Styela clava: one gene and its partners. The protein of the gene in region 3 purifies or fractionates together with the protein of the main gene of each other region. This does not show direct contact. Links are inferred from orthologs where the notes say so. Each region holds a gene or a part of one and is shown on either strand. Other genes may lie near its edges.

Evidence for each region.
Region 1: the proteins of SWI/SNF-related matrix-associated actin-dependent regulator of chromatin subfamily E member 1-like (region 3) and uncharacterized protein LOC120331925 purify together in Homo sapiens (affinity purification with mass spectrometry; 7 studies listed by BioGRID and IntAct, counting the BioPlex papers as one, with this or other methods). This does not show direct contact. The link is inferred for Styela clava from reciprocal best matches to the Homo sapiens genes SMARCE1 and ARID2.
Region 2: the proteins of SWI/SNF-related matrix-associated actin-dependent regulator of chromatin subfamily E member 1-like (region 3) and uncharacterized protein LOC120342568 purify together in Homo sapiens (affinity purification with mass spectrometry; 4 studies listed by BioGRID and IntAct, counting the BioPlex papers as one, with this or other methods). This does not show direct contact. The link is inferred for Styela clava from reciprocal best matches to the Homo sapiens genes SMARCE1 and SS18.

Annotation. Positions count from the first base shown.
Region 1 is NC_135255.1:16,056,859-16,066,814, forward strand, and holds the start of uncharacterized protein LOC120331925, read left to right. Parts: upstream 1-5,594; 5' UTR 5,595-6,612; coding exon 6,613-6,704; intron 6,705-6,969; coding exon 6,970-7,063; intron 7,064-7,992; coding exon 7,993-8,090; intron 8,091-8,837; coding exon 8,838-8,944; intron 8,945-9,956. Other genes in the region: ER membrane protein complex subunit 2-like, read left to right, coding at 180-261, 1,380-1,493, 1,732-1,833, 2,244-2,354; WASH complex subunit 3-like, read right to left, coding at 3,775-3,877, 4,158-4,253, 4,363-4,541, 4,942-5,106, 5,215-5,265. UniProt on the Homo sapiens protein: Involved in transcriptional activation and repression of select genes by chromatin remodeling (alteration of DNA-nucleosome topology). Required for the stability of the SWI/SNF chromatin remodeling complex SWI/SNF-B (PBAF).
Region 2 is NC_135252.1:18,834,269-18,845,056, reverse strand, and holds the start of uncharacterized protein LOC120342568, read right to left. Parts: upstream 4,003-10,788; 5' UTR 3,187-4,002; coding exon 1,867-3,186; 3' UTR 1-1,866. UniProt on the Homo sapiens protein: Appears to function synergistically with RBM14 as a transcriptional coactivator. Isoform 1 and isoform 2 function in nuclear receptor coactivation. Isoform 1 and isoform 2 function in general transcriptional coactivation.
Region 3 is NC_135255.1:11,564,917-11,575,809, forward strand, and holds the start of SWI/SNF-related matrix-associated actin-dependent regulator of chromatin subfamily E member 1-like, read right to left. Parts: upstream 5,119-10,893; 5' UTR 5,045-5,118; coding exon 5,038-5,044; intron 4,768-5,037; coding exon 4,676-4,767; intron 4,009-4,675; coding exon 3,898-4,008; intron 3,663-3,897; coding exon 3,594-3,662; intron 3,437-3,593; coding exon 3,296-3,436; intron 2,831-3,295; coding exon 2,755-2,830; intron 2,347-2,754; coding exon 2,263-2,346; intron 1,795-2,262; coding exon 1,616-1,794; intron 863-1,615; coding exon 761-862; intron 1-760. Other genes in the region: leucine-rich repeat-containing protein 46-like, read right to left, coding at 6,170-7,147. UniProt on the Homo sapiens protein: Involved in transcriptional activation and repression of select genes by chromatin remodeling (alteration of DNA-nucleosome topology).

The DNA of each region.
Region 1 (9,956 bases), about 4.5 Mb from region 3:
ACTTCTAAGAAACGAGTGAATTTATCTAACACTTGATCTTATGCTTGTGTATGATTGTACCCACAAGTTTCAGTACTCGAGGACATTTTTCGGTTTAGATATGACTTTAAATAGCTTTTCAATACTGAAACATGGTTTTAAATATTACAGAATATTTGGAAAAATATTTCTTTTTTCAGATATGGAAAAGCTTCATATTGCATGGAAGAAGTCATATTGTCGCAACCTCTCAATCATCTATATCACCAAAGATACGCAGAGGTAGTTTATATTTGTTTAGTCATAAGTCGGATTAGACCAGGGATGGGTAACTTATGGCCAGTAGGCTGCCACATGCAGCCTCTCAAAGCATTCTGTGCGGCCCCTTGCTTTTGGAGAAAATTGTAAAATATCTTAAAACTTCGTACAAAATTTAGATTTATTCCTAAACTTTATTTAAAATATCTAAACTAAACTATGAATTGTTAAAACTTTATTACTGTTTTTTTTTTTCATCTCTGGCACACAATGGCACTATCATGGTGATCCTTTTTACCAAAGATTTTATGAATGCATTCCTTTAAAAAAATATTTTTTTGCCTCTGTATCACACCGTAGCTTATCGTGTTTTTCTCCTATATTGTATGTCATGAGGTGAGATTGCCCATGTATCACTTTAATGTCTCACTTATGAACCTCATTACTTATCGATCTTAAGATCGGTATTTGTCTGTTTGTTTATTTGTTTGTCTGTTAGATACACGCGATATCTCACGAAAGCGAGGTTGAATCTGCTCCAACTTTTGCATGTGCATTCATCATAGTTCGGAACAGGAGCCTATTGATTTTCGATGAATTATGTCGTATATTTAGCGAGTTATTGATTAATTAGTGAGGGGACACACGGTGTCACTATAGAGTAAGAGCGCTGTTTTGGGGATCCCCTAACCTCCGATCGATAAGTCTTCGGTCTCCGACCGATATTCTCGTTTGAAGTGTTGGCAACTTTTCTGGATTTCTGTCCTGTTTGTATGTCTAAAAGTGTAAGTTTAAAATAAATGATCCCATCTATCACATTAACTACAAACTCAATGACACACAAAACAAAAATAGCATGGTAGTAGTTCAAACAATACACACTTAATCTTACCCATGTCTGTCAATCCATAAACAACAAACTTGGGATATGTTTCACAATCAGGGAACGATGGAACACAGTGGAGTGAATATTACCAATCAAGAAAATAAAAGTCTCGTACAGTAGGTTGGAATCATTAATAGTGGACCATTGCGGAGATATGGAGAGTAGTTCCAGTTATTGACAAAATAAAAATAAAGTTTGAATCGGTTGTAATTTTTCACCTAAATATCAGGGAATAACCATGCTGTATTATTTTCAGATCAAATACACACAGGGTGGAATGGAGAATGTATCATTAGCAAGAGATTACTTTGCAGAAGCAGTTTATTTAAGTCGTAATTCAAATATGAGGGCATTGTATGGATTATTGCTGGTGAGTTGGTCTTACTTTGATGTTTTATCACCTTTTTACTCGTTCAAAAATGTTGACAAATTTTATTAAAAATTGGGTATTTTACAAATTATGATTTTGATTTGAATAATAAAATCTTATTATTTAGATCTGAAAAAGCGAGGTATTAAATACTTAGGAGCGGCTTTTTAGATCTTTCTCGGTTGAATTTTTTAGGTTCTACTCTGCATTTATTGTTTGATTCAAATTTTCTTTTTAGGCGTGCAACCAATTATCATCCAGTAAAGCGACAGATAAGGAGAAGAAAAATAATAGCAAATATGCAAGTTGGGCAGCAAAGATGATTCAACTTCAGCATAAAGTATTTATTCTTCATAAGTTAAAGTATTGACAATGCAGGCTATGCTGCCAACCATGCTACTGTACCATTCTAGATGATATTTAATAAACTGGGAAAATCATTTCCGAATGGCTTCTAGATGTAAAAATATCATGAGGGCGATCATAACAAATTGGTATGTGATGTGAGAGATGCGCCGTCTCCGTGGTTGCCCCCCAAGTTAAGAGGGTTGGGGGGGTCAAAACTAGGAAGGGGATAGGATTTTCACATTCTTCCCGGGGGAGAGGAAAGGCAATAACAAGTCCTAATCACATGGTGTGCCAGGGGGCTCTTGACCGGTCACCATTGCATTGTATTTCTAATCCTTGGTACGATGGTAATTGCGAGTGTTTGTACACAAGCAGACTATATTTTTTACTAATTATTAACAGAATCATGGCAGTGAAGAACTTGGTGCAACCCGCAGTAAAGAAGACTTTCCAGAATTAACGACTGGTGGAGTTACAGACTTAATGAAGGAAATGCATTTGAATTCAACATGAGAAAAAGTATTCAATTATCTCATCACTGTTTGTGTTTTCCGTCCACCAAAAGAGACTAAAGGATTGTGAACAGAACAGTGGTCTTATTGTTGAAATTTTATTTATTACAAGGTTCCATTCTTTGACCTGGTATTCCAAACAGGACAAAAATCTAACCAACTCCACATTTAAAAAAATTCTGGCACATACAGAAATTTTCAGAAAATCAGTGCTGTCATTTTTGTTTTATTACCAGTTTGATGTGATGACTGCTTCTCCTGTATAAAGACATCTTTAACAATATTAAGAAAATTAAACGAATGATGTAGTTGAATAGTCAATCTTGAATGGTGCTTCATGAAATTGAGTTCTAATAATTGTTTCAGAGGAGTAGTCAGCAAACCTTTTGCACTGTTGGGCCAAATTTGCACATTCACGGCAGCAAGTGGGCAATATCAATTTCCGCCCATAAACAATCACCACTTGAAACCTTAAATTGTGACACACCCGCAACTATTATTTATGTGCTAATTGCTAGCAAATACACGACTTACAACTGGCATGTGCTTTCGCTACTTACCGGTACTACATACAAGCACCGTACAACAGAATGAACAGGTATACCACATCTTTGAGCTGGTTTTTTTTATGAATTAAGTTGGGCCCTTCGAAGGCTATGAAAATTTGTTCAGGTACCAGTTTGCCCCCAAACTTCACTCCCACTTTTCTTTTTCAATTGCAAGTAATGATACAGAATCGGATTTAAGAATAAGTAAAGAGATGAAGAAAGTATTAACACAACAATTTGACATACTCTTATGTGTTTGAGAACCAAGCACTGAATGTACTACTGCCTTATTAAAGGCAATTCGCTGTGTTCATTTCGATATGTCTTGATTGTCATAGGTTAGAACAAATGCTATTTTTCTGATTCTGTGGTTTTAAATGATCTCCTTCAAATCGAGGAAGAATGCAAATTTGTGATGTGTATTAAATTATTTGCGAACTTTATTTATGTTGTAATTAATATTGCACCTCTGAAAAAGGTAATAAAGATCACTGATTCAAAGTTTGTTTGTATTGGAAGGGGTGTCCTGGTAAATGCCAGCCATGCGATTTTCAAACTGTTTGGTAGGGCAGGGCCCCAATGAAATATTCTTCCTGAAGCTTGAGACACTGTACACATAACATTATAGACTCAGATTTGAATGCAAATTCCCAGAAACCCTGGCCTAGAATGTACTCGAATCCTGTTTCGAAACCACTGTTATATAGCAGATTTCATGAGCGAACAGGACTTGAATTTAACTTCCTTACACCAGAGCAGCTCCAACCTGTAACTGCTATTGAAACAACATATACAAATTGTTAAAATCTCAATATGCTTAATAATATTGCACCAATGAAGAAATCAGAAAAATAAATAAAAACACTGCAACAATCAATCACTGAAATCGTCATTTGAAGATAAACTTTGACTCTCGTTATCAGAATCTTCATCAGTTGGAGCTTGTCCACCATCAGGTACAGGGGCATCAGGCGTACTGAAATTAACACAAAGTACTGTTATTGCAAACATAGGTATCAATTTCATGCTCATTAACATGGTTAAAATATTCATCTGAAACCTATCAAATTGCTGACCTTTTTACAAACCAGACTGGTATATATTTAGAATAGCCATGGGAGAGAAAAGCTGTAGAGACAACCCTTTCATATGCACACTACATCCTCGCATCCGATTACCAGTCCATGTCAGCTATAGCATTAGTTGGTGGTTTTTTTGTTTGAAATTTGAAAAAAACATCACCAGATCCAACTTACTCGAGCATATCTGGATCCAAACCTTCAGCCCTCATTTTATTTGCAACTGCCATCTTCGGTACACCTACCATCACCATCTTGAGGTATTTGGCATATCTAGAAGTAAAAAATTGTTAAGACCAAATATACCAGAAGAAGCGATGAGTAAAGACAAATTTTTTAGAAAAATAACAGATAAACTAGGAAAATTTTTTTAGAACAGTACCTGGCATCATTCTTAACTAATACAACATTAGGATCAGGGGCAGGTGGTTCATTATCTTCAGCAGGGGGAGGGGCCTCAACCCCATTAGGGGTAGGGGTACTGACAGGCTCTGTTGAGGCAGGTTGAGTAGGTGACGGTTCCTCTTTCTTGACATCATCAAGGCCAGGAATGGATGAAAGCTAAAAATACAATTGAAATTAAGTTTTGGGCCATCACATCAAACTAAGCCAATATGCATTTTGTAAATCAATAGACAGAACGTATTCAATCAGTCCTATAATTTTTTTTTAATTTTCTCCATCTCAAAAAGAGAAGAAATAGTTTTATTTGAAGTCACATTCAGTTTACCATAGTTTGCTATTATAAAATAATGATCGATCCAATTTTGTTTTCGTCATCGATATAATATTAATGAATATATATATATGAGTGATATTGTCACAATTGTGTATAACATTTGGTGATTTGGTGAAAACTTTCAACTATCAAGCATATACCGATATAAACAACAGCTATTGTGTAGTCTGATTGTTGAATGAAAATATTTCTCATTTGTTGGAAAAAATAAAGTAAAGTCACCTTAGCTTCTAATATATTCAGAGCTATTTCCATTCTTTGCATCTCTAACGATTGTAATGCCAACTTTTCCTCTGCCATGTTTGAGAATTTATTGAGAAAATTTGCAGTGTGTGTGATAAAGTGGTTCATAAATGTCACAGAACGCCGTTGATTAAGCGGCGCCATCTTGAAATAAAAAATACGCAGGTAAATTATCATTTTATGGAAGAATATTTAATGGTCTAGTTTACAGTAGCGGTACCAGTAGAAAAAAAATTATCAAATATTACGTACTTTTGTAAGATCCACAGTTGGTCCCAAAGCGGGAAGATTAACGTCATCCATTATTTTGAACTGAACTATTTACTGTCCATATATTTTGATAATCGCATATATTAATCTTATTCCGTTTTTTATTTAGCTGTATTTTATTTTAGTAAAAACAACAACATTTCTTCAAATTACAATGTCCGCTGCCTAATCCCTCTCTATAACAGCGAGCCCAGGATACGATACGGTGAATGACTTTTATAAGAACAAACCAAAAATCAGCAGACGATCGACAGTTGAGAAAAAAGGCAGCAAGGTGCCTTATAAAAATTAAATAAGCGACGTCGCATTAGGATAAACAAAGGTATAAATGGATAACTTTGGAGGTGCGCGCATGTGGACCTGCCAATGGGCCAAACACACCAAAAAACTATTGAAAATTTACCCCAAGCTTCATATTTTTAGCCTGAATCGATGTGGTAGATTTGTCACGTGATCAGCCGCCATTACAACGTTCTTTGCCCAGCGGTCGTTCTATCCGTTGAGCGCAGTCAGCGACGAGGTGACGCATAGACAAAGAAATAGCACACGGCTTATGCGGGACCTTCCTCATGCGTATGTAATGTGGGAGTCGAGCGTTTGGGTTCCAAATCGGCCGTTACTGCATGATTTGTCGAGTATCGAGAGTTGATTAGGCCAAGTCGCGAAAACAAAACGGCGCGCTTCAGATATTTTTGCCTTCCCTTGGCCTAAAAACAAAATGGAGGCCGTTTTACATTTTAGCCACATTATTACCTCACCAAAGACGTCGATTTTTCGATTTTGTGACGTTGGTAAAACTTGGATTTTAAATCTTTTCTGGCCGAACTTAATTTCGCTTCACTTGTGTCAGTTTTGGAAAAAAGAGCGGAAAATAGTTATCAGTTTACAGGTTTTGGTGTTAGAGCGTCGATGGCAATTACTGAGTTAGGAAAGCCGGCAAATCGTTGTTGGGCAGTATAAGTGCGTTTATGGAATGTTTCTGCCCTGATTTTCGTAGTATTCCCGAGAATAGGAGAGACAAATATATATGATATTAATTTATCTAATCCAGCCATACCAAATTCATCAGAACGTCACATCGCCTGATTCAGTAGATATTACCTAAGCGTTTGAATTCACTGCCAGCCAGCTGCCTTGTACACCCGATCGCGGGTATCGCCCGTGGAAAGACGTATCACTTATTTAGATTTCCCGCTTTATATTACGCGACTTGTGCGAGAATACCGGCAAAGGAGAGTTGATAGACTGATTGGCAGCCCGTTTTGCAAACGCTTCAAGGAGTACAGGCAAATATATCTGACGTGCAAAGGTAACTCATGCTATGTGTTGCTACAGCTATATATTGATATTATCCAATGTTCCAAGCAATAATTTTTCAATATGGAAAGTAGGAGAGATTCACACAACTCATCTGAGCAAGGACAAAAGGAAGCTTTTTTAAATGAGCTTAGTCAATTTCTTTCGGACAAAGGGTAAGCTAAAGCCATAATACAATTCAGTTAACTTCTTGTACTACTTAGGGCATACACAAGCATAAATCATAACACACTGATTTTTCATCTAAACAATTTTAAGTCAAGTCTTTATTGCATCATATGTATTAAAATTTGAAATCCAAATTTAAAAATTTATTTGATGTTAAATCTTTCACGTTTTGATTTTAGAATTAGTACAGTAGTAGATTGTTTTATTTGTTGAAGTGATTTTTTCTAAACCTTTATGTTATTAATATTTCAGGAGATATGTTTGTCGAACTCCAAATCTTGCTGGCCGAACGATAGATCTTCACGATTTATACAACAAAATTACTCAAGCTGGCGGATATCAGAAGGTCTGTTGTTGATATTTATGTTGATGCATTTTCTCTTGTTTCTTTCTCACTGTTTTGTATTAGTGAACCTCACTGTTTCTTCATTTTATTTCAGTATTTGTACAATCAGACAATTTATGTAATTTCACTCTTGGTGAAGCATGTATGTGTTTATACCCTTTTTATTTTTACTTATGGCTTTTACAACTTATGGCCATGGCTTGACTTCCATGATTTATATTTTGTCAAGCGACTAAAATTTTTTGATATGTACAGTAATATATATGTTGGTATTGTATCTATGTTTGCAAATTCCAAATAATTTCATTATTTATATGCTGTTTGATTCGGTTTAAATTAATATAGGTAAAATATTACCACACATATTATGATATTAAACTAAAATCCTCAAACTTATTTCAAGATGGTTTTAATTTCAATGTTTTCCAGATTTTCACATATGGAAATTTATCGTGGATATAATTTTTTGTGAATTATTCTTGTTGTAACTAAAGGCCATTATCTTGATAATAGCTGTATGCTTGCTTTGGTTATTTTTTTGCCCGATTTTTGCAGTCTTAGCTTAGTGACAAAAACAAATATATCTGCGTAAGGTAATAAACCACAACAATTCACCTGTATGCATAATTTCATTTCAACATGCTTACAAACAGTAACAACTTTTTTTCTGAGAGTGTTTAAGTGACATGCAATTTCATAGTTTTTCAGTCTCCAGATTTCATTATAATTTTATTTACATAGATACTATGCACAAATAGTATACAGGCTTTTCTCTGAATATATGCTGCAACTTGACTAGTTGTTGGAAATTGTTCTCTATACTGCACGCCAAGTAGCACTGGCTACTGCTACTAACTAACATCATCGAGTGGGGGCTAATTGTGTTTTATGTGTAAATGTAATCTAACCAATGGATCAATTCATTTTAGGTGACTGATAGAGGGTTTTGGGAAGATTTTTTGGAATACTATGGGTTTCCTGGAATATCAGCGACTCTTGCCTTTGGATTGCAGAAGATTTATCAATTGTAAGTCTTTAAGCCTGCCTTGCCTGCTGGCCAAAGCCATAATATTTTGAGATATTATTAAATGTATTTTGAGGTTTTGGGTTTAATAGAGAAGTAGACGAAACTAATATATATTTTAATCAAACTCAATTTAATAGAAAAATATTCGAAACGAAAGTAGCAGGTACATGCTAGAATCCTTATTTACACCAATCATTTTCATTGTTTTGATGAACCCATGTTAAGTCAGTGATACATGTTCACTTCAAAATGAAGTCAGTTTGAAAGCTTTGAGATGCAGTTTGCTAATGATACCATTGGAATACTCTCTTCTTATTCGTAATGTATAGCAGCTGTGTGTTGTGATTTTGAAAATGTAGGGTTGCATTTATAAAATTATTTGCTTTTCTATGTTAATTAAAGCTTTCCACAGTTTGAATTGTTGTTTAGAAAAAGACAGGATTGCCAATTTTTTGTCAGTGTATAATATGTCAAATTATCAAGTAACCCATTTGTCAATAATAGGAGCTAACAGTCCATAGGTTTTGTGGAATTTGAAACAAGACTTTATAAAACTAATATGAAAATACTGTAGTATTTTGTTAGGAGTCTCTTGTAGAAGGTATTTGATTTGTTAAGATTCTGTCTGGCGCAAGTAGAATTACTGTGGAAAGACTTCTAATTGTCTTATTTTACACAGGTTTTTAGCCTTGTCTCATTTTTCATATTAACGTATACCTTCAACGTTTTACTTTTACTCATTCGTAGATATTTAGAAGATTATGAACGGGTTCATTTCTTTGGTGACGATGAGCCACAACCTTACTCTCGACTTTACGACGGAAAATTGAGAAGATTCAGATATCCAATATCTGGTTAGTTTTTTTTAATATTTTGATAAATTTATCGAAAAGTGTTTTATCTGTAGGTGAATTTTTTCGTATATATTTCGACGAGAATTCTCATTTCAATGAAAAGTTTGTTATTAGAATTTTTGTGAATTCTTTGCAACTATGGACTTCAACTTTTATGATTGAGTTTACCTTGGCATGAGAAGGTACTAAATATAATTTATAGTAACTAACCATCCACTCTGCCCTCCATACCTTTGAGCTCATGGTAAATGTATAATTTAAATATGCTGTAGCAATAATAAAGATGACTATTCTATCTGATTCGAGAGACTATTCTATCTGGCTGCACATCAACACAAATGTATTTCTGTAACTTTCGTTCCTGCAAGATTGTTGAATCACAGAGAACTATTGTAATAATAACCAAGAAAACTTATTCGATATAAAACATTTTTGATCTAATATTTATTAATTCAAGCAAAAATAATGTGGTTGTTCTGTATGTGAGATTCATGTGGCACATAATACCAGTATATAAATTTCAGAGATAACTAACTTGTTATTGCCATTTGCCAATGACGTTGTATATGTTAATGCTGGAACATTTTATCCAAAAATGCCATCTGTTGAGCAAAGCATATGATACCCACGAGACAATTGAAATTTTTTGTAACCTGACGAATAGCAGGAAATTATGAAAAACATGTACATTTTCCACAGTGTTATGTCTCTTACATTATATTTTGCAAATGTCTACATTAGTGAACCATAATTTAATTTATTATTAATATGCTATAATGAATACAAGAGCATTTAGCTAAATTTGAAATCAAGAAAGTGCTTTGGGCAAATGAAGGGTAGTTCAATAGTAATCCTTATACTTTTCAAAAGTATAATAATATGATTTTTATTCTTCAATGAGGCAGTGATGAGCAATAAGAATTAAACGGACAGTATATTTGAGCATTATTAGCTTATATGCAGTTTCAATGTGTGAAATTGTTAATAATATTAAAAATTTGGTAGTGTATGT
Region 2 (10,788 bases), on a different chromosome or scaffold from region 3:
AAATTATGTTTATTTAAATTTAAAAAATGGCAGTGCAGTGAACTACGGTACAAAATGACAAACTACAAATTTACGCTAATAACACATTTTCTGATCAGAAGAGAGTTTGAGCTAAAGAACTTCTCAACCGATGACAGGTCGATTTTTATTTCAATATCATATTGAGATAAGGTTCTGGTTTACTACAGAATAAATCGGGTGGTTTTCATCCTTCTCTAATGGACATGGTTACGAAAAGTCACTCCAAAATTCGAAATATTTGAGTATAAAGGTTCACCCAAATTTCCACCTACAATGAGGTGTATCTATCCAAAGTTATTAATGTAATAACAGGCCATCTCATTTCAATCTAGAATATTTCAAAACTAAATATAAACTGAACCCATTAAGATAACATTTGATGCGAAAGTTTACCCAAGAATAATTATTTTAATTTTGGTTGTGATTTTGAATTATATTCACTAACCATCAAAGAAAAATATAACTCCAGTCGCTCAAGCTTGAGTGACAGGAAATTTTGAAAAACTTTAATTTGAAAAATAATATTCGCCAAAGTATTTAAAAAAAGTTTCAGGAGTTTATTTTTCTCATTTAAGACAGTTTTGGCAAGTTTCGCGCTTTTTGGTTGAAGCCCTCGATTTGATGACATTTTTATTTTAACTCAAAATTGGTACTTCCGAGTATGTGAACCAAGATGGTGGACATCAGAACGTAGTATGTGGACCAGGTTAGAATTAGGTCATGATTTTAGATACAAATACTATGCGAGTCACTTGGCTAGTAGTCCCCAAACTCGTAATCGAACTAAAATAAGGAAAATTGAAATAAAATTATGGCCTAACCCCAACCTGGTACACATACCATGTTCTGGTGTCTGCGTCTTGGTTCACATACTATGGGAGCGCCTTAAAATTTTCTAAAATCGTTTCACTCATTGGAAGCATCATATTGATTCGCATGAAATTTAATGAAGTTCATTTGTTGGTTGAGCTATAGCAATAAGTTTATAAAGAAAAAAAAAACTATTCACATACAAAACGAAATTGCAACAAAAGTATAAATGCAAAGGCTCAAGGCATCCAAACTGATATCTGTTATAATCAAGAAGTACGGTATGTCTATACAGGGTGTCCAAAAAGTTCCGCCCGTTTCATAGCATTACCAATTGCAAATTTGAATAAATTTTGTTGTATGATAAATGGGGACTACAACATTCAATATCTATAACATCCAATTAGAAACAGGTTTACTATAAATTTTTTTTAAAATAAAAAAAAAACTTTTGATTATAAAGACTTTAAAATCGGGCGAAACTTTTTGGACACCCTATATAATATTTCCATGACTTGATTACTTTAAAAATAAATAGCGTTTTCAAGTTTTCTTAAATTAGGGCAGTGAGTCCGTGACGTTATGAAAGACAAACACCGATATCTAAAACAGTCCAATTTAAAAAACAGATGAATTCACAGAATTCAAGAAAAGAACGTAGATTATTGCAAGCAAAAACAGTTCTAATATTATTGTTATGATAACATTCATTTAATATACAGAACTATTTGAATTTCATGATATTCCGAAGCAAATTGTTGTAATTGCCCTTTCAAATCATGATTCGCTTGGTAATGGAACAATATTTGAAATACAAAATGTACAGTATGGAAGCACAACGAAATATCAAGCCCTTTCACAAGCAACTTGTGTGTAAAAAAAACTCATCAATATAATCAGTAAATCGTTCCGGATTTTTTATTTCGAATGATATGTAAAAATATAATGATCAAGTTATTACGGCAGCATGTGATACTTCATTTACGACAAAAACAACTGTATAATCTCATAAACAACATGGCAATCAGGTTGTGATTACTGATAAGGCATTTGCTGCTGCGGTGCCTGTGATGGGGCAGTAGGCTGCTGACTATAATGGGGACTTTGCTGAGATGGTGGCGTTGCATACTGAGCAGAGTAGTTTGGAGACTGCTGACGGGGTTGTTGTTGTGTGTACTGCTGACTAGGTGGAGGCATTTGTTGCCCGGCTGGTGGCACAGGGTATCCTGGGTAGCCAGCTGAGCTCTGTGGTGGGCCAGGTCTCCCATAATAAGGAAGGGGCTGGCCTTGTTGCTGCATCATTCCTTGGTGTGTAGAAGTTGGATATTGGTGGGGTTGGGGTCCTTGTTGCGGATAGTTTGCAGATGACTGCCCTGGGTGAGGTGCACTCTGATTTGGCGGGTAGCCACTAGAGGGTGGTGGGCCATATCCTGACGGCTGATGATTATAAGGACCTGCTTGTGGCTGCTGTGGATAGACTTGTGCTTGACTGTATGATGAGGGGGGAGGAGGCTGCTGATAGTGAATTTGTTGTTGCTGGGAGTAAGATGAAGCTGGTGGAGGCTGAGGGTACGACGCAGGTGCAAGCTGCTGCTGATTGTATGAAGCCTGGGACTGTGGATAAGATGCAGGAGGTGGGTGTGAAAAAGAAGTTGTGGCCTGGTTCGGCACTGGCATATTACTCTGCATTGGCTGTTGTTGTGGTGGATACTGAGGGGGCATCGAAGTCGTAGCTAGTGGTGATTGTCGCTGGGCTGGTGGGACGGGTGTGTGAGGCTGACTTGGGTCACTTGGACTTCTCATAGGAGTTCTGCTTCCAGCAGAGTTTGGTGATCTGCGATATTGCGCTGGAAAAGTACCTTGCTGTGGCTGGCTGTATGGAGTCTTCGTTTGTGGTGACGATCTGTGAGGTGAAGCATATGCTGGCGATACCGTAGAAGGATTAGCAGCAGTCAGTTTGGGTGTTGCTGCTTTTGGGACAGTTTGATTCGGCAGGGTTACTATTGCTGAAGTCTCGGGTGCTGGCACACTAGAAGATAGTAAACTTGATGCCTCAGATTTCATAAGTTTGGTCGATTGTGGCATTGGCATTCCACCGATACCCTGTTTGGGTGAAGTTTGATTTAGCAAGTTTTGAGCATTGCTTTGATTAGAGTCAGCGACAGTAGCCAACCATACTAGATTGCGATGTAGAATTTGCTGATACTGTGCACATTCTCGTCTATTCCCGCTGTTTTGATTATCAACAATGCATTGAATTAAATGACTATTTTCATCCAGAAGTTTTTGTATAGTTTCTTGTGTAACAGGACCTTTGCTTCCACGAACATGTTGAGGCACAAACACACTAGACATATTTATTAATAGTCAATCTGCATTGTTAAATAAAAAGATATTCAAATTAGTAGAATAATAATATATAAAGTGGATCTCTATAATCAGATCTGACCTACCTACTCACATTTTGAATAAAAACGTGTTATTTATTAGGAAATAGATATTGGTTTTCATATTTTGTATATATTTGAAAATCTGGCAATTCTCTACTTTGTAATTTTGTTTCTGATGAATGAAAATATAAGACATCCCCCAAAAATAAGCCCTAGTGTTATTTTTCGGAAAAAAATTTAAAAAAAAACCAGTCTTATTCTCGGGAAAACACTGTAGTAAAAATCTATAAACTTATGGTCAGAATTCAGAATAATATATGAAGATTCTAATCCTAGTGAATGATTTGGTATCAAAATTGAATCCCAGTACAGCGCATTTGGCGTGATAATGTTTTACCCATTTTTTTTTGGTATAAAGTAAACTTTGAGGCAGCGAACTCTTGCAAAATTTGTTCAACTAGTTAATTTTTATTGAATTTTATAGAATTGCTTTATATTGAAGATGATAGATAATTTAAAAAAAGAAATTCAGCATATTAGTTACAGAAATAAGGAGAAAAATGCGAAAGCATGATAAATTACATCATGTCAATTTAGAGGCAATGTATAATATTCTGCAAAACCTTATATCCGGATTAAATATGTCAAATTTATGACATAGGTCAAGTGTGTGTGTTACCAGATGAATCAACATGGCTAGTTTGCTACATAATAGCATTTTTTTTTATAAAATCGAGACTTTGAAGCGAACTTATAAAAAATCATTGTTAGCAAAGAAAAAAAAGAATTAGGGTCTGGTATAGTTTAGTACAACATGCACTTCTAGTTAGCCTGGCTCAACAATTTTTGCATATGTCAATCCTAACCCTTACCTGACTACGTCACCGAAAAATTCTGTCATCTCAACGTCACAGTGACGTAATAAGACCCACCAAAGTATGCGGATGGTCGTTCAAATCGCGCAGACGATCACCTGAAAACGAGCAAGCTATTTCTCTCGTTTTCTTGTCACAACGATCACGATAGGGAGAGAGATCGCCGGCTTTAGCGAGTTCGTTATCGGAAGCGCAGATGCCATTTCGGGCTATCGTAATTATAATTTGGCAAGCCCTATGACGTTAGGGTGACGTCGTAGTGACGTAATTTTTGAATGGCATAGTCAGGTGGTGGTTAGGAATAAATATGCAAAATTCGTTATGCTACGCCCAATGAAAGTACTTGTGGTACTAAACTATACTAGACCCAAGAATTATACATGGTGTCAAAAAAATTTCGCTTGATTTTATAGTAAAATCAAAAATCTGGCACTGGTACCTACAGACCTATGTCAATAATTCCATGAACTTATTCAATCCAGGCATTACAATACAATTTATTTTGGCATTTTGAAAACACAACACTGGGTAAAAAAAAATCATATTATAGAAATGCCTGAAAAATGAGCAAAACTCAAGAATAAAGTTTATAGCATGTAATGCGCATGCTCGTTCACCAAAAACAACACACATAATAACAATTATAATCAAAAGAGACTCGACGAGCAGCAGTGACAGGCTCGTCGGATGTTTCATGTGATAGGAAAATGAGGCACGCATAAAAATTGAAAAAATGACAAAGTACGGTCCGGTACATAGCGAACGCAAAGGCCGCAAACACATTGAGGCATAATTGCATGTGATTGAAGAACTGCAAACTCCAAAAATTTCCCTCCATTTAGCTCTATAAAACAAGGACTCTATGTGTCTCACAAACGAGGGGCGTATAGGACCACTTCAGATGCGTCATACCACACCATGCTTGTCCAAATAATAATCTAAGTTAATCGCGGCCAAAACATGACCAAAATTGCCGTTTTTTGCTAAAAACTCTCGAATGATACAATAAAAAAAATTTTCCTTCAGTAAATCGGATTATTTTTTCCCAAGGAATTCAATGATGCCGTTACTAGATTGCGCTTTTTTGTAGTATTTTGCGCAACTTCATTATACTGTATTATTACCGTTATTGAGGGACAACAATGTCCAGACGTCTCCCAATAGAGGGGTGTCTGATCATCTGTAAAATGGGTTTCTCTGGAATGGGACAATGTCATCCGATTTGTAGCTAGTGTGCCGTGCACTTGCTACATGAAAATATCAAAATTTGAAGGCAGCATTTGAAATATTCACACAGATTTACAGATAAAAATACATAAAAAAACAAGAATGACAAGTAAATACAGAAATAAGGGGTAAAATTATTTTTGACAACAGAAAGGAGTAAACATAAAACAATCCTAGTTACGGTACTGGACTACCGGTACCAGTACTGGCACGGTACCGATATCATATTTCGGTACCGGTATTTATTCCAGAGGCAGAGGGGCATGATCTCCTGAAGTATAATAGTTGAAAAAGTCTAAACTCTGTGACAAAACAATACTACTGTATGGGTAACATTCGGGTACGTGTTACAGGTTCACCGTGCCGGTCCCGGCACGGTACCGGTACTTCGTACTTGACGAATGCTGATAGTCCTGGAGTCCAGCGATGACTGCGCCGGATAAAATTCAAAAGCTCTTTAGTGCTAACAGTGCTGGATGAAAATGGAAAATATAAATCGTTAGGTGTCACTGTTCGAAAATAGTAGTGTTCGGAGTCTAAAATAATTTAAAATGTCCTCATTATTGCCACAGAGATATATAAATATAGAGTGTGCTTCTCTCTCGTTTTCGCGGGACCATTTGAAGCCTCTCTCGTTTTGACGTTAGACTTCCAAATTTTGCGTAGCGCGTAATGTATTTCATATGGGATTTGACAGATACCAATTATTTGCGTCGATTTTTTTTGTATATTCGCTTGATTCGTTTCTTATTATGTATGAAACGCTAATACATCCAAGCTCGCCATACCGTGCTAATTTTTCATTTTGCATTAATCGTGGATGAATAATATTGCCTAACCAATCACACAGTAGGCTACATTGCTCCGAGTGGCTTACCGGAATCGCCAACCCATTTTCTTGTATTTGGCCATAGTTTACCTAGCCCGGCTTCATATTTTGTGCGCCTTAATACCATTTTTTGCTAATTAAAATGTTATCGGAGCTAAGACATTGATTATTGTAATTTTCCAAATGAAGTTGTTTCCAATTTAGAATATATTCGATTTCCAAAGTTCAAAAAAACTTCATAACATACCGTATATGCTCGTTTAACCGCCCGGTCTTGATTAAGCGCCCGTTTGAATAGCCGCCCGTGTGAACAGGACATAAAAATAAATACGGGCCGGTGCTTGAATACCCGCCCGGTGTGAAAGCTGATTTTTCAGTGGTAAAGAGCAATAGGAAATAAGAAGCGTAATATGAGGGAATTACTCTTAAGACGTGAATAATTTGCGTTTGACATGGAAAAAGGATTAATGTCGTCAAATATTTGTCTTCAAAGATACCGGTACCGTAATTTTTGTGTATAATTTTACTTTAAAAATAACAAGCGCCCCTGCTTGAATAAGCGCCGGTTTGAATAAGGGCCCGGTTAGTGAGTTTGTTTAAAAAAATAAGCGCCCGGGCTATTAAACGAGCAAATACGGTATTCTGTATAGCCTATTCAGTTTTGGCCACACCTCTGTAATATAATAAGAATCAGAAAACTTGGATAGATAGCGAAGTTTATTTAACATCCAGTCATTAGCCAACAAACCAAACAAATAATAACACACACTAAGTAAACATCTCCCCCACATGAATAAGGTTGGCGGTTCACATTTTACATTATACCTATAATAAAGCATGTTAATTTATTGTAACTAATAATCGTGAAACAATAGTAATGACACAAATAGGACAAAATTGAAAACAGTAGTGGCAAAAAAAGCGTTTCATTTTATATCGCACAAATGAAAACGTACGAGATAAAAGGTATGAATCAGTACTTGTTCAGAAAAGACTGGAAATACTTCTTAAAACAAATTTTAAACTTAAAATTTATTTTAGGTTTCCGTTCCAAATTATCACCCACATTACGTAATTTTGGCCATGCCAGGATGAAAAATGTGATACAAATAGACAATGATTGACCTTGTTTAATAACTTTATTTTAAAATTATTCATTGCCAATGCATGACCTGTTGAGAAAATGACGAAAAATTTTCCTCACTGGTGCTGAAATATAATTAACTTTGACAATTTTTTTCTTACATTAACTGCAGAAGCTTGGTCATTAAACTCTCGTGCCATATGTTTGGCCCTTATGCCACAATATGCTTTAATAATGGCCTTCCCCATCAAACTAATATGGCAATCACCAAACCCTGTATCGCGCCAGTGGTTTACAAGGTCGGGAAAAATAGGCTTATCGATTAAACCATCTTGCACTGCAATAACGATAGCATTGATGAGCCCAGGGGATTAGGGCAGTCTACCTCCAGAGGTAGCTAATATTCTTTGAAAACATTTTTCAGTTTCTCTACAAACTTTTATAACACTTGCTGACGGAACTGTTAATCCTCCACGGTTTTTAAAATATATTAAACTTGAAGTATGATCAGTAGATGATACGAGAGCCTCCTTGCATTTTATGCAAAACATGGTATCTCGCAGCCTCTTTGCAACAAATCCTGCAATATATTTGATTATTTGAAGCTTGTATTCTGACAACCTGATTGTGTTAGGTATGTCAGCATAGTCATGGTCAGAAGTTAGTGGAGTCCGTGGTTCAAGGTCATATTTCTTCATAAAATATACTGAGCTTAAACTCATATTATGATTAGTCAGACTGAAGCTGTCCAAAACATTCAAAATGCTTGTTGCATCCTGGGGCTCACAGTTCCCTCCTGTGCCTTTTACCCCACTTCTCATAAGCAGTCGTTTATAGGCAGAAGTAAATTGTTGCACAGTTGGATTATTATTGAATCCCCCAGCACCTCTTACAGCACAGAAAAAGAGTTCCAAATGATCCGGACTAAATTTGTACATTAAAAGATATTTTAAATATTTTGAAGTGACCAAGTCATTGAACACGCCTTTTGCACTGGATACAGATAACAAAAAGCCAATAAAGCCAGTTTTTCTTCTTGACATCAAGATTGGTCTTCCTGAAGAATCCTTCAACTGTGCAATGTATGCACATGCTTGATTCATGAATGGTTACCAAATATGCTTATTTGAAGGTCTTAGTGGCTCCTTAAATCGTTTAGCGAAGGGATTTCTGGAATTTAGCACATCAAAAAGCTGGTCAAAAATTCTGATAAATTTTACAGTTGCTTCCACTAAACTGCTTGAATTTCAGCACCGTATCAGAGTATTCGATCGCATCTGCAACACTGCTGCTCAGGGTTTGAGCAGCAATATCAACTTGCATGGTGCAAGGGTGTTTCGGACTAATTTAAGCATGTGACAAACGTCCATGAAAACATAAATCCGCTCAGATGGGCACGAAGGATGAGTAAAAATATGATTGCATGCTTACATGCGAGGCAACAACTCCTAACTGAGAGAGCATTGAAAAATGACAAGATGGCCCGTCACAAGTTAAGGATACCACCTTGGCTCCAGTTTCACTCAATCTTTGAATCCCAATCTGTATGATGTTTGCTCTTTCTTCTCCGGTCAATCCATTAATGAGAAAATATTCCAAAGGTACTTTCCAGGACCCATTCACACAAACAGCCATCAAAACAAGAGCTTCCTTGGCAAGTGGGGCAGAATCATCCTGATTTTCAGCATTTCCCAGGTCAACAAAGCCTCGATACCTTTCTCCATCCCAAGCAACATGTTTCCATTTCATCAATCATCATAGCACAAATCAATGGGACCTTTCTCCATCCCAAGCAACATGTTTCCATTTCATCAATCATCATAGCACAAATCAATGGGTGCGATGCAGCACTCACCTTCAGCCGGATCGCATCAAATGCAATTTTTGTGAAACCAGGCTCAGCTGGAAGTTTCTGGTACCATTTTCTTATTACGCTTGGATGTGGTAAAGCCAGATTTAAGACTTTCCGCACATATTGATACGCTTTATTTGAATAGAACTGTAAAGTCATAGCAAAAGTTTTTAGCTCCTTGGGATATTTGACGCCTTTTCCAGTTTGTAAATTCATTAAAATTCTATTGAAGATTGATGAAGGTATAGATCGCTGTAGACTTTCTTCACATGAAGCACTCACCAAGTTTTTCTTTCTCAGGGACTTTAGCACCGTTTCAAGAGATTTTACATGTTTTTGCAATCGATATGTTTTTTTTTGGCAAAGCCGGAGACGTTTTCTTACTGCTTTTAAATGTTGTAAGCTGAGATTTAATTTTTTTAACTTTGTAGGTGAAGCAATGACCTGTGAATATGAGTGGTCATGGAGCACATTGTTAAATTTCTCCTGCACTGACCACTTCTGCCTTACACATGAATGAAATTTTCTTTTTGTCGATGACTTTCGCTGTTCGTTGACCTGCAAGAAATTTTGATGATCATGAGCATGTCCCACTTTAGATGCGTTGAACCGAAGCATGTGGCAAAAAACGAGAATTTTAAAAAATTTAGAAGGCATTTGTTGTAAAAAAAAATCTCACACATCACATAAACAGATGATTTTATATAGTTATTCCGATAAACTAAAAATTAAAATACATAACAGATCAAGTCTATTACCATAAGCTAAAATACTAGGTATCTGCATGCTATAGTGATCTTAATTGCCCGATATATGAAAAAAACACCCATTAAAATATGTGACAGGATTTTTTGTCGCTTTGGGTACAACATTTAAAGTTATTGAGGATTCAATTTGTTGTTTATCTTATGCATACCTTTCTTAAATATTTTGGAAATGCTTTGAATCGGGTCGGAACAGCATTGTCCTTAATTCTTGTGCGTTGCCCGGTTCTCTTAATATCGCTCTCTTTAAAATGGTCAGAGCACAAACGTGAAGAACTAGTTGGAATCCAATTCGCCCTCCGCAAAGCAGTTACCCACTTCTCGCAAAGTGCCTTATTCAAAGGAAATCTGAGAAAAATATTGTTAATTATGTATGAGCAAAAAAGAACTGATAATCATTTCATGCAGTAAGTGCACAATTTATTCGGATTTGAGCTACTTGAATTGAAGCAGGCCAGAACCAGAATTTGGATTTAACATAGTCTATCTGTATAGTCAAAAACGCTCTTTTCTAGTCAATAATAGTTTTATGCGCTAAATTGTTGACCACTTTGTATGTTATAAACTTGCTGTCGCCTTCAGCCCAAATGATTTAAATGCTTATACAATTTTTCCAACAACTTTGACTAAATTACAACTTTACTACAAACTGACTTCTGACCTTATAGTTACAGAAGACGAGCCTCAATACTGTACCGAGACAGCTATACCTGTATGCATTTACTCTAACATATATCTGTATATCATGATAATAAAACTAGCTTTATCTTTTACAATGTTTAGCAGGCTATGAACAAATTGCTAAAACACACACTGGCAGACAACTGAAAACTGATATTGTTAACACAAACTGCTGGGCTATTTTTCTTACTTATGAAATGTCCTTGGATATTTTCGTTTCAGCACACTTTCCTCGTCATCATCTCCCTCGCTATC
Region 3 (10,893 bases):
ATGTGAAACAAGTTTTCAATTTAACTTAACCTGGTACGCGCGAGTAATTCATATCCCCCTGCATTGCAAAGCCTAAACCTGGGTCCTATTCAGTGTTCCCTCTGAGGTGTGCGCGTGTGCGCGCGCACACAGCTTTCAGAGGCTGCGCACACGCATAGATTTACTGCGCACAGACGTATTTCGATGTAATGTAACAATGTGCTCGGTTAGCAGGTTGAGAAAGTTTGTTGTTGGCCCACTTATTACCCGGTTAGAACGCCAAAATTTCTTCCTTGGTTTTTGCACAAATATTAGTCATTTCCAAAAAGTGCGCACACACCCAAATTTCTGCGCACACATACTACAAAAAATTAGAGGGAACATTGGTCCTATTTATTATCTATGCCTATGACGTTACAATGCCCTAACAGCTAGCTTGTGCAAAGCAAACAATGCATTCCATAGTAACCAAATTTTTTGTGCCGAATTATCCGATTCCACCCAGTTATTTGTATCTGGCTCTCCTGCATTGACAGTTGCACACCCCTGGTTTAATATAATCTAACGAAGCATAATTCGAAGATACCGGTGTGCAAACAAATATGTGAATATAACCGAAAAACAGAAATCAAGTCAGCATAACAAGATTTTTTCATATTTACTATCAAAAATATTTTACATAACAATCATCTCAACATGCCGTCAAGTTACATTGTGATGAAACAGAAACACGGCCTCACTAACTCCATCCATTGGAAGCAAAGAGATCATTCAAACTTACCCTTTTCATTTCCTTGCCAAATTCTTTAGCTTGATCAATCCACTTTCTCTTCTTTATGATGTGTGATTCTTCAAGATGAACAAGTTCAGTCTCAAGTTTTTTCTACAAAAATGAGAAAGTTCCGATAAAAAATATCCCCCAAAAACCGCAAAAACAAAATGTCAAATTAAACAGGACACATAAAAAACAGGGATGGCAAAAACTCCAAAAATTAAGAATGTAGAACATTGAATATGATTAATTAATTCAGATTAGATTCGTATATTCGATTCACATCTGTGGTAGAAAAATACAATTTTTATTGTCCTACAAAAATATAAATAAATCTGATTACAGGAATATAGGCAGGCAAATCATAGGCTTAATGATTATTTTTCTTTTTTTAATGTTTGCTGTAACATGATCAGATCCTTATCTATTTGAGCTATTATGATTTTTCATCAGTGTACCACAAAGGCAAGGGTCGACAATATTCTGAATAAAATATTCCAAGAATGTTCAAGAGTTTTGCTGCACACTAACACAGAAGTATTCTGTATCGTTTCAACCGTTATATAGTTCAAGGGTTATAGTTAAATAATCATTATTAAAATATAAATATTGAACTTGATAATGCAGAATATTTATCCCATCATTGTGTCAATGTTTAATATAGTTGGGACGAACATTGTTTCATTAATTTTCTATTTTCACAGCATCAATCTGAAATGCTGAAAACGACAAACTTTTCCAAATTATCCCCAAAACCAAGAATTTCCTATACCGATATAACCAATTTCTAATGGATTCGAAATCTTTAAACCACACTTTTTTTATATGACTATTATTTCACGCCTTTATTACTAATCAACATACTTGATGTAGCTCTAATGATTGCACTTGATTTTTCAAAACATTTAGTCTTTGTGATGTCACCACAACGCAAGTACTAGGTACATGTACTGCTTCACCCAATATATCGTTGACTAATCGATGGTTACGTTGGAATCTAGCAGCTGCAACATGCTTCACAGAGTAGCACATATCTGAATCCTCTGCAATGAAAAGTAGTATTTGCTAGGTTACTAATGGGTGGATAGCTCTTGTTAATAAGGAAAAAAACAGCGCTGCGCTTAGGAGGTTCTGGGGACATTGGGGACAGTTATAGATCTTATGACACACGCTGTTTGTTTGCACAAACTAGCTAATAGGATGTTGGTATGAGCTTTGTAATGCAAAGGAATTGTAATTACTCGTACATTAAATTAAAAACTCGTTACGCATTCAAAATTGGCACTTCTCCGCAAGCGGCACAATTTTTCCTTGTGGGCCGCATATGATCTATGGGCCACAGGTTGCACACTCTTAGCGTACACCAAAACTTTGATCTAAATTTAATTTTCCATAGAGTTTATCGCTGACTTAGTTTGAATTTTTTTCCCCAATCAAACCATAATTCCATAAATAAACCTTCATCACTGATCCAAGTAATTGTATTTGACATAAAAATAATTCTTACTTACCAACAGTTTCATCAATAGGTTCAATGCTCATATAAGCATCGTCTTTGTCTGCTAATCCTTCAGTAGCAGCCATGATTGCTTCAGCTGAAAATTTGAAAAATCAGACAAATATTAAATTTTTGAGAGGTGATGTGCATAAGATTTGTATTTATATAGAGAAGAGAAAGGCGGTGCATAAGATTTGTATTTATATAGAGAAGAGAAAGGCGATATGACACTGACAACTTAATCAAACGGTGAAAAATGACCTATCGTCGGGAAATCAGTCTATGTTGGGTAGGGTAATAGGGTGATTATGGCACCAGATTTGGCTCTTAATGCTCCATCCAGACATGAGTGATATTTAATAACAGCAATTGCGGTTATTGAAACTATGAAAAATGGAAAACGGGCCATGTTTTATATCTCATAGGACTTATATAGTTGGTCTGAACTAAAGTAGCATATCTAGTTACGACATTATAATAATTGAATGAAATACTTCACACAAACCTCTAGATTTAGCTTGTAGATATGTTTGATATTCTGGTGATAATTGATATGCCTTCAACAGTTCAACATGTTCCACCTGTAATTGAAACATTTATTTAAAATGCATTATAGTTAGGTGGTATGGCTCATCGTGCTAAGCGTTAGGAATACGCTCGCCACCGCACCTCTGATTACTCTGCGTGGATTCGCAGGTTCGAATCCCATGCGGTGATGGCTATGTGCGAGAGGATTGCTGGACTCCTCACCGCCGTAGGGTGGTTCACGTAACCGCATCAAGTCCATTCTTCTGAAAATAAATAAATAACTGATCCCATGACTAGTGAGGGAGGAATAAAAAGTTCCAAAATAGGCAAAGGGAGGAATTTAAAGGAAAAAGGTTGGGAACTATTGAATTCTGAATACCATGAAACTGCATTTGAGCTACCAAAAACTTCAGAGGTCAAAGGTTAGAGCTCAGAGTAAAAAAAATAAAGCGACAAAGTCCCTGTGGTTTCGAATCAGCTTTCTGGCCTTGCATTTCCAGTTTATATAAAGAACCAACTTTTGCAATTTCATATTCATCCATATATTGTTGTCGCTCAGTTGCTGGTAATTCTCTCCACATTTGTCCAATTATTTTTCCAACCTCCCACAATTTTAAATCTTGATTTTTATTCTGATTTGCTCTCACATCATCCCACACCTGAATTGTAAAAATGAGAAGTAAAATAGATTGAAATTCAATGTTAGTGTTCATATAAATAAAAATGAAATTTCTGTATGCTTTAAGAGTTATATGGAGCTTTGTCCCCAATGATTTGAGAGTTCACTCAAGAACTAAATGAGTAATAATCTACTACCTTTCTGCTATATCTCATGTAAGGCATCAACGGCTTTTCAGGTGCTTTTGGTGGCTTCGGCAATGCACGCTAACAATAAAAAAATTAACACAATTAATATAAATTTTGATACGAAGACCGATATAATAGTATTTCTCAAAACCATAAAAATGGATAAAACTTCCAATGAGTCACAAAAATATTACTGTAAAATTAAGATTACTACAATACCTACGAAGCAATTTAAAATACACTAAATAAGTGTAAGTCCAGTTTTTTTGTAGTAAAACGATAGGTGTTCAACATATCACAGTAAACAACATACCCCAACAGATCCATGTCTCTTTCCCCCAGTTTGTGACAGATTTCCAATCAATAGTCTAGTATTAGCAGGATGGCTGTAGTAGTTTTGAAAATATTGATTCGAACCAGCAGTCTGAAAAGTACACAAATATTGTTATAAAATATAAATCTACTTAACAGATACATTTTATACTCAGTTGAAAATGCGGTAGGCTTTGATTGCAACGAAATGGTGTCTTTCATACTTGAAAACAAAATATATTGCCAATATCCAAAACTATATTTCAAGCATTGTATGAAATTTTCTGATTTATCCGTAGGAGTGAAGCAAGTAAATAAGACAGCTTCATTATATGGCAATTCACTATAATTTTTCGACCTGTTATGCATTTAATTGGATGACGGAGAAAATTAAGTACTTTAGCAACTCTATTATACATGCCTATTCTCAAACATGATTTCAACCTATGAACCACCACAGGGAAATCAATAATCATGTAGCAACTGACATGTACCACTTTTCTTGCACTCTGTACAATGCACTAATCACAGAACGCTCATGGTACATAGTTTGGGAGGAAAGCAGGGAAAACAAGTACTGTGGTATAACCCTATCTTATTTGTCCTATGTGAAATGGTAATCAATCATATACGGTAGTAACCAGGGATCTATTAAAAACTGCATGCTAAGAGCAACTTGTTTCTTACACAAACGGTCAAGCAGTAGACAAGGGTTGACACTGATCAACACAACAAAAAGTAATGTTAAAAAAATAAGAAAACAACAATACTATGCTTACAGCTGCTGCAATGTTAGGTAAGATGTGACTTTGTGCTGATGGCATTCCTATATTTTCACTTGAAGCAGCAGTAGTGATTCTTGTGCTTCTTCCTGCAAATAGATAATATAGTTGAGGTTCAAAGCTGTACAAGACAAAAATCATCAACCAATACATATCGTGGTAGATCAGCCAACTCTCAATCAGGTGACACACCATGGAAATCAGTCTGAATCTATTTCAAATCTTCTTATTAGAGTAGAATAATTTTTGAAATAAATAACATTATCTTAATCTAACATATATGTAACATTTTTTTTTCATTTCATATATTTACAATTGCATATAAGGCTTTCAAAACATGATCACCATGTTTAACTTACTTGACATTGTAAATGGTTGAGAGATGACACAATTCAATTAAATATTACCTATTATCAGATAGCAGAAAAATTTATCTACAAAAATAAAATGTGCATATGAAAGTTTATATTACTAAGAATACCCACAACGTAGATATATTAGAAATCTATCATGAAAGAAGTATTCTGTTTACCAATAATTATGGATAAACATACCAATGCCAACTACCAATAGTCAGAATTCAAAATTCAAAAACTGCTATTATTTCGGATTATTGAACACCAAAATTTACATATCTATTTACATATACCAGAAGTATAGATGGCATGACATATATTGTTGATGTTTTGGAATTCGGGGTGTCCGTAGTATCAATTTCAAAGATAGGATAAAACCAACTGGATTACAGACAAAAACTTATGTGCCCATGGAAATACAAAATATCAAAATATAAGCAGCTTTTCAATCAAAATAAATACAACATTGAGAAAAAAAGCATTATTCTGAATGTTGACAAGTATGAAGAAAACAAGCAAAACACTTTGCGAATTTTCAGCCATGTCACGTTATTGAATATAAAAGTCAAATTCATTTATTAACCTATTTCAGAAATCAAGGTTTCCTTATGTTTCCAAAAAGTATTAGTTAATGTGAAAATGTCAATTCAAAAATATATAAAATTTTAAATCTCAAATACTTTTCCCCATGTAGCTCACAAATTGTGCAATGCAAGAAAGCAGAATTTAGTGTTTCATAATAAAGCATAAACTCGAGCCGAAATGCTTTGATAATACAAAAATTGGATTTAAAAATCAACTGAAAACAATGATGTTTATCACAGCAATTCGTTAGAATACAAGAAAAGACCTCCTTCATTAAATTTTATTACATCAACAATACATTGTACACAATTGTCATAAATTTATACCCTTGGTGAATAGACATAAATTAGAGAGAACTTCATACAAATATTTACACTTGATAGGAACGTGAACATTTTTAATAGAATAGTATTTGTTTTGACTAATGACAAGATTCATAATTTCAGGATTTTATATTAATTGCATCATTCTGAACTCATTCTAAAACAAAATGGACTTCTGATTATCTTTTTGCCATGATATGCCTCTGTAAAATTTATACAATAATATTTCAATTTACAACTCTTTTGAATGGTCTAGCACCCGGAGTTCGCACTCTTGCGATTGGTTTCTGAGATTCTTTAGCAGAATTAGTCCGACTTCTAGGATTTGTATTTCCGATTCTTTTACCACTAGGTGGATGTGGAGATATTTTTCTTATAGGACTTTTAATACTTGGTAAATCTGCACGAGTAATTCGAGTATCTTTCTCCAACTGACGAATTTCTTGCTCAGAAAAACCAACATTTTTATCTGGAATTGGGCTTTCTGGTATAGAAGTAAAATAATCAAAATCATCTTTAAGTTTCACTTCTCCGTTACCTATAGCAGTCGAAAATTTATGCAGCGATTCGGTTATTTCTGTGGTAAGTTTATCATAAAAAGCCGGTTTATTATGAGTGTCTTCATCAATATTTTTAGGTTTTTCATTTTGAGATTCCTCCTCATCGTCACTCAATTCTTCTTCGTCGTCACTCTCATCTTCATCCGAGCTGATGGAGCAATCAACCGATTTTTCATTGAGAAATTTTAAATTTGGCAGTTTGTCACAGATGCTTCCAACATGATGAGATGCTTCTATACATCTATTTCCAGTCAAATTTAATATTATCAAACTATTTGGCAATTGTTCAGTAACTAAATTTTCGATACAATTATCGCTTAAATCAAGAAATCCCAAATTTGCCAAGTCTTTTACTCCTTTCACTTCATTGATCCGATTCTCAGCCAGAGTTAAAAATCGCAAATTAATTAAAATGGAAAAGTTAACCATTTCCTGTATGTGATTACATTGTAAATAAAGATTGGTAATGCAAGGCAGAAAGTCCAGCAAAGGAACAGAAGTCAATCTTTCTCTATCTAATCTAACATGAGTAAGATCAGACAGCTTTTCAACTAATGCATCGACATCAGTGTCGTTTTCTATTTTCAGAGTTTTCAAATTTCTTCGCACTACCAGGCCAACAATATCCAACGTATGATTTGACATTGTAGATTTTGATGTTCAATTATCATCCATTATAATGTCAAAGATATAAATCCTGTTCACAAAACATTTCAATCTTGAAAAATCTCATCTTCGTCAAATGTGTAGTATTTTAACTGAATCATTCTATTTTGTAATCTTAAACAATAGACACAAAAAATTAGACAACATAGCGCAAAATATACTGGTATATCATATCTGGTTCAATATTTTGATAGCTTTTGTTTGATCAAAAGTTTGGATTTATATTTCCAAAATACATTAAATCCCATTTATATGATACTAGAAACAACATTCGAATATGCTATTAAGTATACCGGTACATATGGCATATTTGTCTATAAGAGAAACAAGACAAAAATGAGCCTAACTTACGAGGATAAATTTCACACTTGATACAACTAAAATCAAACAAAACTTGGTCATACATTGAAAAGAATTGTAATACCAAAAATTGGAGGAACATTTTTGAAAAGGTTTGTTGTTCGTTTTAAATCCTTTTAATTACAATATAATCTTAATATAACAATATGAAATTCCTCAGTTCAGCATTAATAAGTTGGACCAGAGTTATACAAATATTTTCAGTCAACAAAAAAAATATATTTCAAGAGATTAGGCTAGCTTGATGGTGTCAAAAGTGAGCTAATTGTGTTTTCAACTTCTTTAGACGATTGGTTTGCCAGCGATGCACTATATTCCACTCCAAATGGATGACGAGCATAGACTTTCGGTTCTATGTTGCTACATTCTCGGATAAGGATTGGGAAACCAGGATTTTCTTTCTTGATTGCGACATATCTATTCTCTACAAAATCTCGAACTCCTTGACTGGATGATGACTTCTGACATAAATGTATTCGAAGTTCACGAATGTGCTTTGACAAATTAACAAGTTGCTTTGCCGCCATCTTTTATTCTTCTTTGGATCCCCTTGAACCTGCTCGTATATATTACTGTATTAGTATTGCAGAAGCAATAATAAAAAATAAATATAAAAAAATGACAGTTTTTTATATGATATTTCCACACTATTCACACCGAACAAGGCCCTGCATAAGCAGCTATTGCAGTATTGATAGGTCTGTAGGTGGGAAGCTGCTATTTTCAGAAAACAAAACGAACTAGCCTCTTAGCTAGTCTATGTATGAGTAGGACTCTGCCGTGAACCACGCTATGGCATTGAGGAGCCCCGCAATCTCCTTGCACATAATAAAATGAATTTACGGCTGCAGGGTGCTTTATCAAAAAACATTCGTCTGTCTGTCTGGAGTTGTGCACTCGCGCATCTTTACTCGCGCAGCGTTACTGGACTGGCGTTACCCAAAGTGACTATAACTAACTATTTATAGTCACTTTGGCGTTACCGTGCCGGTAGTGCTCTGACTCAAATCAAACTCCAAATAAATACTATATAATATATCTGAATAAATATATAAATCTGACAAAAATATCTGAATATTCGAGAAAACATTTTGCGATACAGCTTTGTCTGAAAGAAAATATGCGAACGCTTTGCGCAAACTGATTCATGTGTGAATGCAGTTTCTCGAGAACAGCATTTGCGAGAACAAATTTTCGCGTAAACGTATTTTTCAAAAATGTAATTTTGTGACAAAATATTGAAATCTCGGACAACCTACTTTTCCGAGACTGTAAATTTATGCAAACGAATTTTGCAGAATTGCAGTTCCGACATCGTGACACTGGACAGAAGTTTGTTCTCGCAAAGCTAGGTTCTCCACATCCTTTTTTTCGTGCATCATACAGTGAAAGAAGATCTCTGAATAAACTAGAAAAATAACCGAAAATAGAGATGAATTAACGATATATAGTATGATCAAAATTTATCTAATAATTATCTTGCCTGCAGCAAACATCAATAACAAAACCAAGAAGCGTGTTGCAAATGTCGTGTTCAGAAATTTTACTTGAAACAAAATGCGATCAGAATTATTACATTCCAACTCTCTATATTCAATACGCCAGCTCATTAAATACCGTAGGAGATGAGATTTTAAAAAATTGGTAATTATAGATATTAAGAGAAAACGACACCTCTCCTGTTTCTACTAAAGTAGGATAGGACCTATCTCATTTGACTCTGAAATTTAATTTGAAAAAGTGGTGCGGGTGCGTGAGCATGACCATGTGCTTTAGCGGGAAGGTTTTGCCGATAAGAAATGATAAATGTTCGATATTCATTATGGAATTTATTATGTCTTATCTGTATGTAATGATTTATATTATTATAAATAAAATTACATTTATTATAAAAAAATGGTATTGCAGCGTTACGGTACGGTATTGGTTATCTCCAAACAGTTAGGTACGGTACAGGTAGCATGTGTCGGCTGTCGCATTGTATTTCTGTACCGGTATTTTGGATATAAGATGCGATAGGTTAGGTACAACAGTACAATGCAAGGGTATATGACATTTGAGTTGTGTTATAGAAAAAATCACGGTATCTTACTAGCATATTCATATATTTGAATATCATGATAATGGTACGGTACATTTTATAGTTTCAGCAGTTTTGTTCTGTATTTTCAAAGCATCCATTGGGTTTCACAATGCGATATAAACAGTAAGTCAGTAACACAGTAATAGCGTTTTATATTCACCCATTGTTTACACTGTTATGACATTGAATTTGTGAAAATTCATTCAAAATAAATTTTTGAATTAAAAAACAATTGGAATATTTTTATGATCATATATATTTATATAGCTTCAATACTTAAAATATATCGAAAATATAAAAAGTGAAACATTGCATACAGATATATGTTGTAGGTCGGGGGTCGGCAACCTTTTGTCGCTCGCGGGCCAAAATTAAAGGTTGCAAGTCATTGGTGGGCCGCACATATTTTTAGAAAGTTAATATCCGAACGGATAGCCGATTAATCACATTTTTCACACAGATCAAGAGTTAAAGTTTGAGCAGCGCACAAAGACTGATCATTTGAATATTTTCTGCGCCAATGAACCATTCGCACTCAGCATCAACTTTACTGCGTTTTGTTGCCATTTGTCTGATTATAATTAAATTGTAGGCTCATCAAACGAGTAATCGTGAATTATATATTTGTTAGGATATAATATAATTTAGTCTCAAAATAAATTATGTTAGGTAAAGAATATAATCGTCAAAACAGCTGTTTTGTTACTATAAATATAATTTAGTGAAGCGTCGCGGGCCGGATTATATTGCCTCGCGGGCCGTAGGTTGCCGACCCCTGTTGTAGGCTATCTCATTCAATTCATTGATAGTAATGCTATGGCCATTTACTTTTTTCATATGTATTCAGTACTTCGGTCCTCGAGTGTAATGATTGAGAGAAATATTGTTTCTGTGGAAAAATAGGTTGGCATCATGTTATTAGTTATAATAAAACCCAACGAAAACATTTAAAACCTCAATAACTACTCGATCTTCGTTTAATAAGCTATAAATTAATCCACTGGTTTCCGTGTAGTTCACAAGTCAGGTACCGGTACTTGAATGTGAATCATGGGAAAATCTTTTACTACTGGAAAGTACATTAACCATCATACTGCCATAAGATGTGGCAAGGTTCAGTAACATGATTGCATGCTCATAAACTCTTTCACTCAGAAATAAGCTGAGTGATAACAATTGTCAGTTTGTGTTGTTGCTAGTAGTGGGATTCAGCCGGTTTGCACCTGTTCTATAGAACCGTCTCACAGAATTTTATGAGTTCAGCGAACCGGTTAGCATTACT